3 linked regions of the Danio rerio genome follow. The protein of the gene in region 3 interacts with the protein of the main gene of each other region in a pairwise test. Links are inferred from orthologs where the notes say so. Each region holds a gene or a part of one and is shown on either strand. Other genes may lie near its edges.

Region 1 (6,273 bases), on a different chromosome or scaffold from region 3:
TCAGGGCCGTGACGCAGCTTCAAAAATTCGTTTCAAACCGGAAGTACGAATTTGCTCGAAATAATGCTAAAAGTACCAAATTTCACTTTTTAGTGAGATATAGGTGTCCTAATAGTGTTTTTAGGAGTTTGGGACACATACACGACTGTCAACAGCTCAAAAAATGTGTTTTGGTGTTCCGTGACCCTTTAAAGGTTTTAACAATAGATTTACATCCATCACACTTAAAAACTCATGGATTTGATCATAATATACTTAGCAGCCACAGATCTTTTCTTATAATGTCTGAAACGGTTAGTTCAAGGATCCCCTCATATTGCAAAGTGTAGACTTTTCTAGTTGGTTAGATGGTGTCATCTTATGTGATTGATTCACCACTTACGAGATATATCAGAAACCAAATGCCAATTACTATATCTGAATTTCAGCTTCAGATGGTTTCTTTTTGTCACATGAAAACACAGCGATGTGAACCATAACAATAGCATAAAAATTTTAAGTCCTCTCACTAGGGCTGGGCGATAAATCGATTTATCGATTAACTTAAGTGTGTAAGTTACACTGATTTGTTTGAATGAAAATTGGTTTTCGCTCTACATGCAACACTCTCCTCTGGGTTCCCGTAGTTCCCGCTGCATTTGCCATAAAAAACACTCACAAGCAAGATCTTGCGAAAACTCTGAGGAAAGTTGCACTCTGTGAAATGGAAAAGTACACCGACGCACAAACACACCCGCCTAAAAAGGCATAATTAAGGGCTCTCAGCTTGTGTCTCATTCGTCATGAGACACAAGCATTTTAACCTGCGCTCCACACCTGGTGTTTCTCACGATGAGAAGTAATAGACAATTAATAGACAAGACACGAATATGAAAGGAACTGTTAACGATCTAATGTTGGAGTTCAACATTGCTGTTTCTGGATAAATTACATGACCCAAAGAAAAAAACTCGCTCAATGCAGCGAATAATCCAGATGCAGCCGGCTGACGCAAATAAATGCAATAAAATGTAAGCCACTGGCCTAGCATGAGTAATTAATATAAAATGAATGAACCTCTATATGTATGTACATGTTGAAATAAACCGTATAAAAATAATGGGGAAATAAATCACCTTGAAAAAGGTCCCCTTTTAACAATCATTATGAGTTTACTTTCACTGTAATTTTATAAATGGTTTAATTGATATTATCATTATTATTATTATTATTATTATTATTATTATTATTATTATAAAAGTATTGAATACAATCTTGTTAAATTTGATCTTTTAATGACAGCTAGCAAGGTTCTTGAGGTAAAGGTTTTTTTTTCTCTTGCATTTTTCTATATTATATAATTATGATATGCTTAAGCTAATTATATAGGTTAATAACCTTAAACCTTTTTTTTGTAACCCTTAAAAAATTGTGTGTGAATAATAAAAAAAAAGCTATACATCATATACTATGCATGCATTTCTGCACATATGCAATGATAAAATTAACATTTTGACTCTGGATGGATATAAACCTGGTGTTGGAGACCTTTAAAACTAAATTAGCAAACATGTAGGTCACATTAAAGCTTCCTTTTGCAATTAATTTACCATTAGCAACAACAAGCAGATGTGTAATTTATTTGTGCAACTATATTGAGCTTAAAAGTTTGACATCTGTTGTGCTTTTTGCCTCTTCTCTAGAATAAGAAGTCACCGCCCTACCTTGCACTTTACTTTTGCAATTTGACCTTATCATGTTAACAACAAATTTAAAACCGCTACAATACATGCCACATGAAAGACAAAGTCATGGTCTGCAAATGTTTGATACGTTTTATTTCCACATGACTCTTTTGCAATTAGAGACACTTGATGTTTCCATTCACTTAATGTTTTTTTTGTGTGTGTGCGTAGGAGAATGCGCTCTGGTAGTGGAGTGTCTGTGACTAGCATGCACTCGACAGACTTGCGGTCTCAGGAAGAGCCAGAGGAGGAGGAGAAAGAGGCCGAGAAAAAACTTCCAGGTCAGGAAACATTGGTTAAAGTTCATGTGGTCTCAGATGACAAGTATACCCCAGAATTCAATTTGCACATTTTTTTATATGGATAGTCTTGATTATTTTTGCATTAATACCTTTCAGTGCAATGTGTTGTGAGATCTGATACCAGTTACCTATATAAATGGAGAACATCCACTGCCAACAGAGGCTGTGTTAACTGTACATTTTCCACCATTAACTTACTTTTAAAAATGTTTTTCGTCATTTAGGCTGATAAAATATCAGGTTCCTGGTTTACATTTACCTGCAGTACTTAAACAACATTATCATAGTACACAATACACTTGCACAATTACACAATTGCAAACTTACACACACAAAAAGATCTTAAAATAATAGTTTTAATAACTCATTTCTAACAATGGACTGATCTTTGCTATGATGACAGTACATACTATTTTACTAGATGTTTTTCAAGATACTAGTATTCAGTTTAAAGCACAATTTAAAGGCTTAAAGGTGCAGTAGGTGATCTTCCACAATGCTAACAGCTTAGCATAAATCTCTGAATCACAGTCCCTCCCCTGTCATTCAGAGCCACGCCTTCTGAAACACGAGCATGCGCACCTTAAAGATGACAGCAGAAGAACCCTCTCTCATGTGTTAAAAGCGACAAGTGCTTGACTGGTGGCATGCAGGAATTACACTCATTACTAAACCAAACTGACATGCTATTTCAGAGCGGATATTCAGAGTAGCATGGTAAACAATAGAAGGACAGCACCACAGGTTGTCATTGTTTAAAAATGAACCACTGGGATGTGAATATAAAACCATCTTCACCTCAGTAAAGCTGGCTAGGCGGAATAGCGCTATTTACTTGTGTTTTGTTGTTAATCTAAATAAAATCTACATTATAGATGATGTAAAAAGACCTTATGAAACTGAAAATAGTCACATCAATCTTTCATCGGAAGATTTTAGTGGCTGAACAAGACTTCTGTGCGGATATAACCCATTTGTAACAACAACATCAAACGTTACATCAGCTTTGCGTGAAGCTAAAATAGTTTTTAAACAGAACATTACCTGTCTTAGAGAAATACTTTAGCCATGGTGTCATCCTTTCTCCAGTGTGAAACGCTAACTCCAATATTGATTCAGGTTTTTATAAAGTTTTGATTCAGCATGTTTTTACAGTCTCTCTCTCCCTCTCTCTCTCTCTCTCTCTCTCTCTCAATTCAATTCAATTCAATTTAATAATTGCTTTATTGGCATGACAAATGTTACAAATGTATTGCCAAAGCAGTTATAAAGTTTACATAAAAAGTAACATATATATATATATATATATATATATATATATATATATATATATATATATATATATATATATATATATATATATATATATACAGTACACACAGTAAATAGTAGTAGTAAAAAAATATATTTATATATAATAATTAAATAAAATATCAACAATACATCATATTATTCAATATATCACATTAATATTCAATATATTATATTATTATTCAACATATCATATTATACAAATCAATACAAAAATAGATCAGAATAAACTGTACATTTAACAATCAACATTTTAGGATAAAACAGTAATAAAAACAATAATAATCAGTATATTTACAATGATTCATTTAAAATCACCTAGGTGTGTGTGTGTGTCTCTTTCTCTCTCTCTCTCTCTCTCTCTCTCTCATGAACGCGGAATGCACAAACAGCGGAGCTGCGTACAAACGGCGGAGCAGTTGTTCAAATCTGCATTTGCTGACAGTTTGGGCTACTTATCGGAATTATGGGAGATGCCAGCCCGACTCTATTTAATTGGATATTCATTTTTTAGTTTTATATCTTATTCAGAGTATAAAAATATGTATAAATACATTTAGATCATTTACTTTAATCAATACTATTGGGATGTGTAGAGACTTTCAACCAGCACAGCAAAAAGTGTTTCTAGAGACAATCACCTGCTGCACCTTTAACTAGTTATTAGGCAAGTTAGAGTAATTGGGCAAGTCATTTGTATAACGATGATTTGTTCTGTAGACATTTGAAAAAATATAAATTGCTTAACGGGGCTAATAATATTAAAAACTGCTTTTATTCCACCCAAAACATAAGACTTTTTCCAGTAGAAAAAAATATAGGAAATACTGTGAAAATGTCAAAAATTTATATATTAAAAAAAGAAAAAAAAATTCACAGGTGGGCGAATAATTCTGACTTGCACTGTACATGCACACTGATACCTGTTATTGTTTTCACAAATATGCATGCATAATTTAAAGGGGCTAAATGCTAATTAAATGGTCTTTTGCAGCATGAAATGTTGTACATCAATCTCCTAAAATTGTTTCCATAATTTCCCTTCAGTCACATTTGAGGATAAGAAACGAGAGAACTTTGAGCGCGGAAACCTGGAGTTGGAGAAACGTCGACAGGCACTTCTGGAGCAGCAGAGGAAAGAGCAGGAGCGACTGGCGGCGCTGGAGAAAGAAGAGCAGGAGCGGAAGGAGAGGGAACGACTGGAGCAGGAGAGACGCAGACAGCAGGAGCTGGACAAACAGCTGGAGAGACAGAGGGAGCTGGAGCGACAGCGGGAGGAGGAGAGACGCAAGGAGATCGAGAGAAGAGAGGTGCGTTCTCAAGTTCTCGGAAATCCATGAGTGAAAAGTAGGGCCTGACAGAATCTGCTGACATTTGTTGCTATTTCTGCTGAGAATTTTGTTAAAAATCTGTGGATTTATGCGGAAATGTTGTGGGAGTATCATAACTAAAAACTTAATATATGAAATAAAAATTAATAACTTTTATTTAATGTTTTTACAATGCAAATCGAATTAGATCCACTCAAACAAAGCAAATCTTTCATATAATAAATCGACTAAACGACAGAAAATATTACTTTACAAACTGTATTGTAAATAAATCAAATGAACATTTTCATATCAGTCAATAATATTACTGAAAATAGTTTAAAAACTGAATAAATATAAATTTACACAAGTAAATAAATAGACTCAGTGATGGGACAAAAATCCGTGGATTTCTGCGCTCACAGATTCCGTGTGGGCCTAGTGATAAGTAGTGCTGAACAATATATTGTGATAAGTATGGTTATCGCGATAATAGCATATGCAATGATTGTATCGCTGTTGTGTGTAGTTGAATTACATTTTATTTAATACATTGGTTGATTTTAGCTACAGTTAAAGTCAGAATTATTATCCCTTTAAAATTACTTTTAAATTTTTACCCAATTTATTTTCAACTGAGTTTTTTCAACACACTTCTGAGCATAATAGTTTTAATAACTCATTTCTAATAACCGATTTCTTTTATCTTTGCCATGATGACAATATGTGCTATTTTACTAGATATTTTTAAGATACTATTGACTATTGTTCAGCTCAAAGTGCAATTTGAAGACTTAATTAGGTTAATTAGGCAAGGTATTGTATAATGATGGTTTGTTCTGTAGACTATCGAAAAATTCATCTGCTTAAGAGGACTAATAATATTGACCTTAAAATGTTTTTTGATTTTATTGTAAAATAAGTTTTTTAGGGAAATATCATTTAATATTGTTTTTATATTGTAAGAAATACTATTATGTTGGCGCCAGTGGTGTAGTGGTTAGTACAACGGCACATGCACTCGCGGCGACCCGAGTTCGATTCCGCCTCGCAGTCCTATGCCGATATTTCCCCTCTCTCTCTGCTTCCCATTGCTTTCCTGTCAATTCTCTCTACTTTCCTATCCAATAAAGGTGAAAACCCCGAAAAAATTACTATTAAAAAAAAAAAAAAAAAATGCTATTATATCATGCAATATTCAACAACATAGTCGCACATTTTCCCAGTGCCTTGAAGCCAGAGTGTTCAGCACTATTGACACTATCATTAACCCTTGTGTTATTTTGTGTGTGCTCTCACCATGATGCATATTTTATTTGAATGTGGACATTTAAGTACTGTTAGACAAAAACACTTTATTTTATGTTTTTAAAAGGAATCACCAGGATGAATTTGAAGTTATTTATCAAATATTAAATTGAGAAAAATCATGTTTGACTTTGTATTAATGTGAGCCATCTCTTAATGAATTATGAAGTTGTTCTATCATGTAGTGTTTTTATGCAAATTGATCTTGCCATGAAATAGCCATAAGTTGCTTATGTGGCAATAAATAAATAAATGATTTTGTGTGTTTGAAGGCTGCTAAACGGGAGCTGGAGCGACAGAGGCAGCTGGAGTGGGAGA
Region 2 (6,273 bases), on a different chromosome or scaffold from region 3:
ATGAAGAGATGATGGGAAGTGGAAGGTTTGGGTGTTGTTTGTCTCCTCCTCCACTGTTTTGATAGTGCCGGGGGGGCTTCATGATGGATGGGCTCAGTCTGCGCTGACCTGCGTAGTGACCTGCCCGTCAGCTGTCTGATTGGTGGACTGGATGAACATGGGTTGGGTCAGCTCCTGTCCTGCCGGCATCGTCACCTGCTGGATCTGATAGAGCTGCTGCAGGGGCACAGGGACAGGAGAGGCATCGGGTGTTAATGGAGACTGACTACTACTGACAACATTCCCAACATTCATTTTTTTTTTTTTAGATGTCACTAAATTATATTTCTGAAATGTTGCAGTCAGAAAATGTCTGTTAAATGAAGGAAATAGCTTTTAAATATGCGTCAGTGTTTCATTTAAGGACATTAAAGCAATAGGTTACATGACTAACCATGACCATTACTATCAACAATGGGATTGGAAATTACGGGACACTCTTAGGGCATAATCAGACTAAGTACAGTTGCCTTGAACCAGGCCCGCATTACGAGCACTGCTCCGTTTAAGCCCTCGCAGTCTGCGTTTACTTTAGCCGGGAGAGCTCGCGCTGAGAGGAGCTCTCTGTAAGGGACCGTCGGAAAAGTGCTTATTTTTTTCGTTTTTCTGCTCCGCTCTTGGCGAGCTCTTCCAGTTGCGAGGGCTTGAGTGTGTGTGTGTGCGTGTGTGTGTGTTTGTTTCTTTGGTGCCGTCTATGTTTGTGTTTGAATGAGAGACAGTGTGGTGCTGTGTGTCTATACAGACAGCTTGTTATAGCCTCCCCTCTAAAATATAACACTGTATATGGAAAGCATCGTCAATGCACCGTGATGCACCGAAATATCGAATTGAACCGAAGGCAGGATAATCGTAACCGAACCGAACCGTGAGACCAGTATAGGTTCACACCTCTAATATATATATATATATATATATATATATATATATATATATATATATATATATATATATATATATATATATATACACATATATATACATACACACAGCTGAAGTCAGAATTTGTAGCCTCCTTTAAAATTTTTTTTTTTTAATATTTCCTAAATGATATTTAACAGAGCAAGGAAATTTTCACAGTATGTCTGATAATATTTTTTCTTCTGGAGAAAGTCTTATTTGTTTTATTTCAGCTAAAATAAAAGCAGTTTTGAATTGTTTAAACAACATTTTAAGGTCAGAATCATTAGCCCCTTTAAGCTATATATTTTTTCCGATAGTCTACAGAACAAATCATCATTATACAATAACTTGCCTAATTACCCTAACCTGCCTAATTAAGCTAGTTAACCTAGTTAAGCCTTTAAATGTCACTTTAAGCTGTATAAATGTGTCTTGAAAAAATATCAGTAGCTCCATAAGTGTTGTGCAAAACAATATGAATAAAATAAGTACATGCAAGTACCAAGTAGTTACGACCACTTAATATAAAGCAGGACCGGCCCAAAATAAAATCCAAAAATGACCCCAGATTAACGCCTTAATGTCTTCATAGTATATAAACAACAGTGAAATGAAACTGTAAGTAAAACATTTTAAAAAATGAAAATACTAAAGATTAGAAATTGTCTAATTAAAAAAATAAAAAAATAAAAAATAAATTCACAACTTGACAAAGCATCTGTTCCTCGTGTCTCATGCAGTGAAAGTGTAAATTTGTATTCTTGCAAAAAATTCTTTCCGAGATCCCACTTTATTTTGAGTCTTCCTTTCAACAATCAATATCCATATCTGTGTACATAGCAGACCAGACGCGGTGCACAGCTCCCCTACTAGAAATTTAAAGCTTTTTTTATGAAGGTACAAACAACGCCATTATTGGCATCTGTTTGCGTTGCTTACCAACATATTTACAATGCAAAGGGTGTGACGCCAATCTTTATAAGATACAGTTACTACAGCATGAGTGGGAAACAAACATCTCTCTCTCTACTCTCTCTATTATAGTGAGATGTATTAGTTTGTTGTTGTATGAATTTGTGATATAGATGTAATTATGTACATAATAACTAAAATACATTAAAAATTGTTAATACGAACACTGGTCCATACTACAAAATATGTTGCAGACCCCCGAGTCCATGCCTCGGTAAGTTGGCGCTGTTTTGGCAGCACAAGGAGGGCTAACATGTTTTGCCCAATGGATAAATTAAATAAAGAAGAAAAGTCCTCACCTGCCCGTCAGTAAACTGGTTGAACTGTTGCTGACCCTGTTGTACTTCTGTTTGTGAAAGCTAAAAAAAAAAAAACAATCATCAAAAAATAACAGCCATTATTAATTACACTAATCAAAATTATAAAAAGGTATGTATCATAAGAAAATCCTCAATTTCTCAAAAGGAGAATCACGTATTATTAGTGTGACCAAAAATAATGTGTCAGTAAAAAATATCACAGTAAAATCTCATCTGGAAATCAGTTTGTGTGTGTATTCATGATTTACCTGCTGAGTGTTTGCTGCGAGTGTCTGTATCTGTCCTTGAACCACCTGTGTTCCTGAGACGGGCTGAGCCAGGCGAATGTACTGCAGCTGGCCAGTGTTGAGCTGCACCTGCAGAACACCACCACAAGAGGGCGCAGATGAACACAACATCACCTCCATCTAACAGCAAATCAGTCTGGTCTTCATGAACACCACATATGCTACTGTACCCATAATTAGCCTAGAGCTCATTTAAAGAGACCACAATCATGAAACAAAAAGGTAAACGTGACATCCTCTTACTGGAATCTGCTGGATCTCTCCTGTGTTGGTGATGATCTGCTGCATGACCTGCATGGTCTGTCCGGCTGGCTGTGCTGTCTGTGCCTGGGCCTGTCCCTGTGCAGCAGCCTGGACGATCTGCACCTGCTGACCCTCGCCCACCTGCATGGTCACCGGAGCACTCTGAAAGTAGAAGGATGAAAGCATGAGGGCTGAACTGCAGCTCCCAACAATTCATGTTTTACAGTCAATTTACAACTGCTATGAGAGTTGTAAGATGAGGATATATTTCCAGAAATGTGTGCATTTTCAACAGTTATATTGTGTAATATACTTGCATTACAAAAATAGTACCCGTGTAGACATTTATGCATTTACGCAGTTGTCAACATTTGATCAAAAAAAGTTGTCTTTAGACAAGAATGGACGTTGTTCAGTAGTTCAAACCTTTTGATCGACTTCAAATGTTGACACGCGTCCACACAGAGAAATGGAAATTTAAGAGAACATTTGTAATAGAGTATGATGTATTGTAATTAGGTATAATGTATTTAATTATAAGATCTCTATGAAATAAGTTACATCCATACGTTATAAATCCAGTAAATCAAGAAAACATTTGAAGGTGAAGAAAAAGCAAAAGAAAGAAAAGAACGCAAGAGAAGATTAAAAAAAGAAAAAAGAAGAATGACAAAAGAAGAAAAGAAAGAAAAGGAAGAACAGAAAAAAAAGAAAAATGAGAAAAGAAAAGCGAAGGAAGGAAGAAAAAAAAGAAAGAAGAAAAAGAAAAAAGGAGGAAAGAAAGAAGAAAAGAAAAAGCAAAAGAAGGAAAAAAGAAAGAAGAAAAAAAAGGAGGAAAGAAAGAAAAAGAAAAGAAGACGGAAGGAAAAAAGAAAAAGGAAAGAAGAAAAGAAAGGAGTAAAAGGCAAAATATGCAGAAAAAAGCAAAAAAGCAGAAAAGAAAGAAAAAGAAGCAAAAAGAAAGAAAAATTAGAAAAGAAAGAAGCAAAAAAGAAAGACGAAATAAAAAGCAAAAGAAAAAGGAAATTAAAGGGTGGAGAGAAAGAAAAAAAGGATAAAGAAAAAAGCTTAAAATTATAAAAGAGGAAAGAAAGAAGAAAGCAAAAGAAGAAAAGAAAGAAAAAAGGAAAGAAAGAAAAAAGCAAAAGAACAAAGTAAAAAGAAAAAAAGAAAAAGAAAATCAAAGAAAAATAACAAGAAAACAATTTTTTTTAAAGAATAATCATAAGAAATTTAAGAAAAAGAAGAAAAAATAAGATGAAAAGGAAAAAGATGAGAAAGAGAAAAGGCATTAAATCATTCTATTGACATTTCCATTTAACCAGACTAAACCAACCAGCATCAAGTTACAGGACACATCTGCTTTACTTCAACAGATGAAAAAATGCAGTTAGAAATTGAAGAACTATGTACAGTTGAAGTCAAAATTATTACTCCCCCTCCCCCTAAATTATTAGCCCCCGTTTAACAATTAATGAATAATTAATATTTATCATCATGCTGTGAAAATTTTCTTGCTCTGTTAAACATTATTTGGAAAAAATATTTTAAAAAAGAAAAAGAAATTCAAAGGAAATTCAAAATAATAAGCCCCAATAAATCTGACCTCAACTGTATAGTCACTTCATGGACATTGATTACAATATGTTTTTCTTTTCAGCCACAAAAGCCTTGTAATGACCCCCAACAACACAAGGACTTTCCCAAATGAACATTGCATTAAGGATCCCATAAAGGTTTAAGCTGAACCAGAGAGTCTAGCATTAGAACCGCAGCTCAACACTCTCCTGTGAATATGGGAAGCTCTCCAAAAGAAAGTGAAACTGAAGAAGTGTTGAGGAAAGAGGAGAGATGCGAGACTGTGACCCCGGGCTTCTCGTGTGGAGCGGAGAAACCTGGACTGCGGAGGTGCGACAGACGATCTCTCCTCTTCAGGAACTGACACCCGAGAGCACGGGACAATTTATTAAGCAGCACAACTTTATCTGGCCCGAGACGTACCGTGACCTCATGTAACATCAGGTTGAGGACATATGAATTGCAGATTCTGCCCTGGTCAATAATATCTGCTGTTTAGGAGAATTCAGCCTTTAATTCCATGCTTGGATCATTTATTTTATCAGATATACAGTTGAAGTCAGAATTATTAGGCCCCCTGTATTTATTTTACACTTGTACTTATCATATTTCTAATAAAGTTTGTATAACTCATTTCTAATAAATGATTTCTTTTATCTGACATGATGACAACACAATATTTTACTAGATATTTTTAAAGATGCTAATTTTCAGCTTAAAGTGACATTTAAAGGCTTAACTAGGTTAATTAGGCAAGTAATTGTATTAGTGTTTTTTTCTGTAGACTATAAAAAAAAAAAAAAATATATATATATATATATATATATATATATATATATATATATATATATATATATATATATATATATATATATATGGGGGCTAATAATATTGACCTTAAAATTATTATTATTATTTTAGTATTTTATTGGGCTGACCCAACCACAGACTTCCATTTTGGACACCAAGCGTGCAACATTGGTGTGTATTTGTCAATATAGTCGGGAGTCACGCCTGTTTCTCACCCGACGTGAGGATATGGAGAGCAGAAGCAGCATGGAGCAGGCGTTTGCCTTTTGCGTCTGCAGCGAGGAGCGGATCGTCAACTGTTGCACAAATGAATATAATCCCGTCTCTTCTATCTAGTTGCCTATCTGTCCATATAAATATACTTTTTTTACTTTTCATCTGCACCAAAGACGCAGCAACTTCCTCCTATGCTGTTTCCTTAACCTGCAAGCCTTTATTTTAAAAACGAAATACATCATAAAGAATGTCTGCTTCTCGAGCTCTATGAGGAGTGTCGGTCATGTATTCTAAGATGCACTCTGTCAGAAGACAATCGCATGAGATATCATGACATTGTGTTTTTGATCGTCAGCATGACGTATGCTTATAGTGACAATAATATTTAAACAATATGGTTATAATGATATGTATACATGACCAAACTAGTGCGCAACTCAAGCAAAACTAATACTATTTTTTTTTACATTTGATTTTGTAGTTTAGGCCCAAACAAATACTTGTTGGACTTTTTAATTGTTTAAGTTCATTTGATTGGCTATGTACAATCTTTAAGTTATGTTTGAAGTTTCATTGTTGAGTTAAACATTTTTAAGTGTCTCTGACACACTGCTTTTAATATAAAACTTTAATTTGGTAATCAACATTAACTGTGTGCATCAGAAGGCAGTTTTTGTTGTTCATTATTTAATATAGGCTCAAAACACATAGGCACACACAAGTTGGACTTATAATTTTATTATAATAATAAATTAAAATTTTAAGTTTTTTAATTTGGCAACTCTTAATTGTTCCTATATATGGCTTTTGTGCTTTTATAGAATGGGAGTTGATAATCATATTCAAGGGCGTGCACAGATGGGGAGCATTTTGATTTGAATGTAGTGGGCCACTCTGTACCAAAATGC
Region 3 (6,273 bases):
AAAAATATCTAGTAAAATATTATTTACTGTCATCATGGCAAAGATAAAATAAATAATTGATTAGACATGAGTTATTAAAACTATTATGTTTAGAAACATGTCGAAAAAATCTTCTCAGTTAAACAAAAAAATGGGAAAAAAATAAACAGGGGGGCTAATAATTCTGACTTTAACTGTATAGTGTACGATTACTGCAAAACATCACGAGATGTAGAAAAAAACAAAGGTTCGGAAGAAGAGCAGAAGTAGCTAAACTGCCATATTTGAGCACTGCAATCTCAGAAATGATGCATGGCGAATCTTTCACAGCAGCTCGGCATGGCTAAAGTTTCATCATAAGCATTCAAATCTCAGCATCAAGCGAAAACGCGACTGTTTAAATATCTCCCGAGGACACGTGGACCTTCTCCACTCCTGCCGGCGAGAAGGGGCATCTGGGTATATTTAAGAACTCTCTCTCCACTATAATTAAAGCAGCGCGGCCAATATTCAGATTGCATTTTAGCATTAATAATTCAGCTGTTTTCACTACAATTGATGTCGGCACATAAATAAACAATGAGGCCTCATATTTACACAGCGCCAGCCGCCGAGCGAGAGCAGGAGGAGGAATGGAGGGACGGGGGCTTAAACAGACATTTAAAATTAAGCTTGATAATGCGAAGGCTTTCAATTTGAAACGCAACACGCTCTTGGAGCTAATTTGTAAAAGTGACGATGCCTTAAAAGGCCTCTAACGGAGCACTGAGCTTAATGGAGCTCTTTCTCTGCTCTTTCATCCAACTATTTTTTTCCCCCTGTTGAAGGTGAAATAAATGTTCACTAGGAGACTCAACAACTGTCCGATCTCTCTCTCTCGCTCCCACATCCCTGTTGTCTCCATATCAATACTGATTATGTGTCACTGAGCCGTTATTTTCAGTGCTGCCGAGTGATACAATCGGCTGGTGGCTGACTGCACAATGAAGTCTTATTGCAGACGGTCCCAAAGGCGAGAAGGGGAATTAGGTAAATAATTTGCCTGCTTGGCGTCTGGTTTTGTTTATTTAAAGCTTGCTGTGCAGCCTCGGAGGAGCAAATAGTCAGACAGGACTATGGCGGTGAAAACATGGCAGAAAAATGGGACAGAATGCTTTATGCAAGCTAGCTTTCATATTGTTATGGAAGTCTTGTTGTAAAACCAAAACAAAGAACAAAAAGACACCATCTTTTTGCTGCATCTTCAGTGAACATATAAGGGATGTAATTTGGTTATGGAAATCGGTAACAAATATGAATTATATATCGGTTTTGCATATGAATGGATCTTGGTTAGGAGGAGGAGGAGAAAATAGTTTTCCCTTTGCTTACCTATCCTAGAACTAAAAGGCTTGCATTAGCTGTGATCTCATTTGAGAAAGTTAGCATTAATAGTGATAAATTGGCTTTCAGCTAGGCTGAATTACGCTCGTCCTCTAAAAGACATAGCATATTCTTTAATATTATACATGTACATAAAACAGAAAAACAATACTTCTAATATAAAGCAAAACTTCTAGTATGATCTAATATTTCTGATTAAATGATTGGCTAAATAATGTCTGTGTAAGATGGATTTTTTTTCAGTCAGAACAGTTTTCTTATAAATCAGTGCTGTACCTAAACCAAATTGTCTGCAAAACCTCAAATCTCTGACCCGTCTCCATTTTTAAATAAATTGGAACATCACTGCTTGTATGCAGTGCAAAAGTAAATTAAAACAGTTTTTGAAACAGATAGAAAATTTTATTTTATAATTTGTCTGCTTGCCACTACCAATATTATCGTAAATAAGTTTATTTTATAAACTTATAGATATTTTAAGAACAAGAAAAACCGAGCACCCACTTAAATACAAAGTAAAGGAATAACCTGCAATGCACTGCCTCAGATGAAGACAGTCTTACGTTTGACAAAGCACATCTCTCCAGCGTTTGTATAAAAAAAACTAATAATATAATAACAATAATAAGTAAATAAATAAAAAAAAAACTCCATTTAAGCTTGATTAGGTGTCAAATGTTAAATCGCGTAATCACACTTGCAAAGTTATATATATATATATATATAATAAATATATTGCTGCAATATATTTTCTGGAAGAATTGTGTAGTGAATAATGCCATCTCAACATACAGTTTTTTCTTTATAGATTTGTTTTGTTTGTTTGTTTGTTTGTTTAACTGAAGATACTCCCACAATGTAAAAAAATACCTGGTTGCCTTAATTGTTTTACATTCATTAACCTTATGAGATTTTACCTTTAAGCTCCATTTAACTTCGATTTAAGCGAACTGTTATCACACAAGAAAATTTTTTTGCCCATATGTGAAGCCAAGCTAACAAGTAGTAGATTTAAAGTTTTCCATCCAGCAGTGATATGTTGATATGTGAAGTGATAAGAACAATTAGATGACCGACTATGGCTCTTACTTTCTGGTCAGGCAGTAGAGGGTTAGTCTGCAATGAACTCAAATGGCCATTGATGAGTGCTGTGGGTCTGTCGTGTTCACAAAACAAGCTGCCGTTGATGTAGTGAAACCTGTCACCAGGGACAAGCCGGTTCCGGCAGGTAGAACATGTGAAACACTGCAGGAAACAAAACAAAAGAACTACATTACACACAATCCTTAGCACATTACTTCCTACACATAACCTGCAGAACATTTTCTTGAAAGGTGAAGCTATTATTCCTTTTTGTTTTTTATTATTTTGCAATTATTTTTGTGGAGGGACACAGAAAACATTGATTAAAATGTACATAAAAGGCATTTGATTTGATATCAATTATAAGCTTATGAAAAACTATTCAACAGAACACCTTCAAACAATCAGAAAACTCTGTGGAGTGTGAAAGGATTTTGTAATGCAATTGAGCATTTAATTTTAGAGCAGCAGTGGTCACTTCTAGATAAAAGGTTACCTTGAGATGGTACACGTTTCCCTGTGCCCTCATAACCAGTTCACTGGCTGGGATGGACTGACCACACGCACTGCATGCCCCACTGTTCCCAAATAACCTGGGAAAAGAAATAGAAAACATGTTAGTAGTGCCAAAGCAACATATATCCAGAGCACCGAATATGTCTTAGACGAAATAGCTGAAATCTATGAAATTGTAGTATGATTTAAATGACCAGCAAAATATGGTAGATCTCAATCAATCAATATAATGTCACACCAACATATCATGAGCAATATTTACTCATTAATATGGTCCATTTATAAATTTATATAACCCATGTAAACAATTGCAGTTGTCCCCACAATTTATTTATTTGTATTTTTTTTCCAATTCAGTGACATTTTATCAATAACTAATTGGATGATGCTCTTTAAACAACCCTACTGTATTAAATAAGAACTATTGTTACACTACCATTCAAAAGTTTGAGCTAGGAATGATTTTCTTTTTTTGTTTTTAAGAATAATTTACTTTTATTGAAGTTAATGCATGGCTTCTGAAAAACATTAACAACTACAAGCACGAAGATAAATGTTTTTGTAGGGTATATATTGCATACAGACTCCCTTGTTGGTCATTAAGAACTATTGTTACACTTTTTTTTTTTTTTTTTTTTAAGAATTTAGTTTTTGGTCAGGTTAATGTGTATCTGCTGAATAACAGTACCAACTACTTGTACAAATGCAATTAAAAGCATATAAATTGCATCCAGACAGTTTTTTTTTTTGTTTTTTTTTGTCTTTTTGGAGCTTAAAAGCTATGATCACCATTTACTTTCATTGTATGGAAAAGAACAGCATTAGCATTTATCAAAATATCTCTTTTTGGCTTCTATGTTAGAAAGTCAGTCATATGGCATAATAACATCCTATTGTCGACTAAATGACAAAACCATTAATTTACTAAATGACAAAACCATTCATTTACTGATGACTGAGATTGAAAATAAAACACTGGATATGGACAGTGCAGTCATTAATATAATGAATACTTCCATGTGCATCAGCAAGGTTTATTAACCTGTTTGGCCTTGTTTTACTGTAACAATGAAATCCTTGAGCAAGTACAGGTTAAATCATTTCAATCTTGTTCCAGGGCCTCCTCCTCACCCTCTCTCAATCTCTCTCAGTCTCTCTCTCTCTCTCAGACACACACACACACAAGCAGAACAAATTACATCTTCAATATTCTGATGTAGAAAAAATAAAATCATAGTAATATCGCAAACCAAATGAAAAAATCCTGCATCCTGTCCTCCAAAAGCCTCTACCACTGGGACTAAGTATTACCTTTGGTGCTCATTTTTTGCAACCTAATAATAACCTAGAACATAAGCAATCAGGGCCTAAGAATATTTGATTGTACATCTAGGCGGAGACACAGCGCTTTTGCCATTAGGACTCAAGCGAGTGCTCAGTCACTGCCGCCTTTCCATTAGAAACCCTCGGCTACCCGGGTTGATATATAATGTGCATGGGTTAACCTTTTCAATCATGGTGTCAACACTTTAGATTTGCTTCTGCTCATCTCTTTCGTCTCTAACCTTCCCTCTCTCTCTCTCTCTCTCTCACTCAGTCTCTTGATAATGAAATGCTTGCTCCTGCTTCCTTTCTATCTGCCTTCTGAGTCCACAATTTAGATTACTTCATCTTGCCGAGCAACAAACTGAATGAAATTTCGATTTGAGCAGAAAGTAATTTACTGGGATCTGGACCCATTTGTCATCATATCTCACTGGCTGTTTGCTCTATCACTGCACTTTTCCTATGCAATCAAATAAGACCACAGCATCTGACAAGCTCCAGAGAGAGAGAGAGAGAAAGAGAGAGAGGGAGAGAGAGAGAGAGAGAGAGGGAGAGAGAGAGAGGGAGAGAGAGAGAGAGAGAGGGAGGGAAATATGAGGAAGGAAGCAAGAAAGAAAGAAAAAGACTGTTAAAAGGAAAGAGGGAGGGTAATGGGGAAAAGACACAAAAAGGATAGAGGGAAAAGGGAAGCATTGCAAGTACCTTCCGTATGTAAACAGTTACAGATTAACCTAAAAGTTCAAGGATGATTTGGTCCCTCAAAATGCTTCCAACTGGTAAACCGGTAAACGTGCATTGTGTAGACTCTGATACTACATCTGCCACACATGAGAACATGTGCGTTCCGACACTGAAACAGCTGTCACCTGCGATGTTTTGCATACACGTGTGGTGTTTATTGGGGCCGCTACACAACGAGCAAGTGAAGCTTTAAGAGTTTCTCTTCAGCGGTGGCTGTAGGGTGAAGGGGGGAGGGAAAAACAAATTTGGCTGTGGCATCGATTGGAGCAGCTCAATCAAAACTCAATTTCAAACGTAATTAGCTGTAGGCTTGTGACAACAGCGCGGCTTCAATGGCGTCGATGGGCCAGTCATGCTAGGCAAATGTCAGGGGGGAAGGTCTTTAAAAGCTGCAGTTTGATTCACCTGTAAAATGACATCTTCCCCTGGCCTTGAGAAAGCAATCAGCCGAGCCACGACGTACGCTTGATTCGACAATCCCCGAGCGCTCACACCTAAATTCGCTTACAAGTATGCATTATTTGGGATCCGGGCTCCCCTTTTAATTGCACCAGTTGTCTTCCAGAGAAAAAGCCTGAAGATTCTCCAAGGCAACCTTTTTATGCTCCTGCAGCTCTGTATACGTAGCATAGCAGGTTAATTATTTGAGCGGGGAAAGGCTGCTGATAGCATTTGATTTAAAGGCCTGAAGGTTTTAGGTGCTCAATTAAGTTGCTATCAGTCTGCTCCTCACCTCTAATGGTCTCTCTCACCATTGAACTCCTGTGCTGACGAGGGAAGCGTAGAGCAGCAATATCACGGGTCACCATAATTAAGGCCAAGGGACTCTTTAATTGCAATGACACCACCAGATTTGGCTTCCTTCTCCTCAAATCAGCCTTTCCCTTTGTTGCTTTTCCCACTTTCTAGGTATTCAGCCTCTTGATCAATCAGAGGAGGAGGATTTTGTCAGCGAAACATCGCGGAATGCTGATTTATCGACTTGCTCGGCCTCGAAAAGGGTGGAATAAAGAAGGGCTACAATCTACGGCTGTCTTTCATTACGAAAGCAAGACAAGAAATCTGTCTGCGCTCCATAGGCAATGTCTAGAGGATTTAATTTGGATACCGACTGTGAAGTAAAATACAACCTAGCAGGGCTGTTTTGGGCCATCTGGCAGAAGCTCTGCCTTTTAAGCGGAACCTTTTGAGTGGAGTGATGCAAGTTGGTACAACAATGATTTCTGCAACACAGTCCATTATAAA

What was found.
Region 1: the proteins of lmo4b (region 3) and itsn1 interact in binary tests that used the Homo sapiens proteins (3 or more experiments, as listed by UniProt). The link is inferred for Danio rerio from reciprocal best matches to the Homo sapiens genes LMO4 and ITSN1.
Region 2: the proteins of lmo4b (region 3) and nfyc interact in binary tests that used the Homo sapiens proteins (3 or more experiments, as listed by UniProt). The link is inferred for Danio rerio from reciprocal best matches to the Homo sapiens genes LMO4 and NFYC.

What each region holds. Positions count from the first base shown.
Region 1 is NC_133176.1:50,354,496-50,360,768, reverse strand, and holds part of itsn1 (intersectin-1), read left to right. Parts: intron 1-1,895; coding exon 1,896-2,005; intron 2,006-4,384; coding exon 4,385-4,647; intron 4,648-6,227; coding exon 6,228-6,273. UniProt on the Homo sapiens protein: Adapter protein that provides a link between the endocytic membrane traffic and the actin assembly machinery. Acts as a guanine nucleotide exchange factor (GEF) for CDC42, and thereby stimulates actin nucleation mediated by WASL and the ARP2/3 complex.
Region 2 is NC_133194.1:44,910,236-44,916,508, reverse strand, and holds part of nfyc (nuclear transcription factor Y subunit gamma), read right to left. Parts: intron 2,924-6,273; coding exon 2,762-2,923; intron 2,588-2,761; coding exon 2,480-2,587; intron 2,271-2,479; coding exon 2,211-2,270; intron 217-2,210; coding exon 94-216; 3' UTR 1-93. UniProt on the Homo sapiens protein: Component of the sequence-specific heterotrimeric transcription factor (NF-Y) which specifically recognizes a 5'-CCAAT-3' box motif found in the promoters of its target genes.
Region 3 is NC_133181.1:28,415,106-28,421,378, forward strand, and holds part of lmo4b (LIM domain transcription factor LMO4b), read right to left. Parts: intron 3,039-6,273; coding exon 2,942-3,038; intron 2,608-2,941; coding exon 2,452-2,607; intron 1-2,451. UniProt on the Homo sapiens protein: Transcription cofactor. Plays a role in establishing motor neuron identity, in concert with MNX1, acting, at least in part, to disrupt LDB1-LHX3 complexes thereby negatively modulating interneuron genes in motor neurons.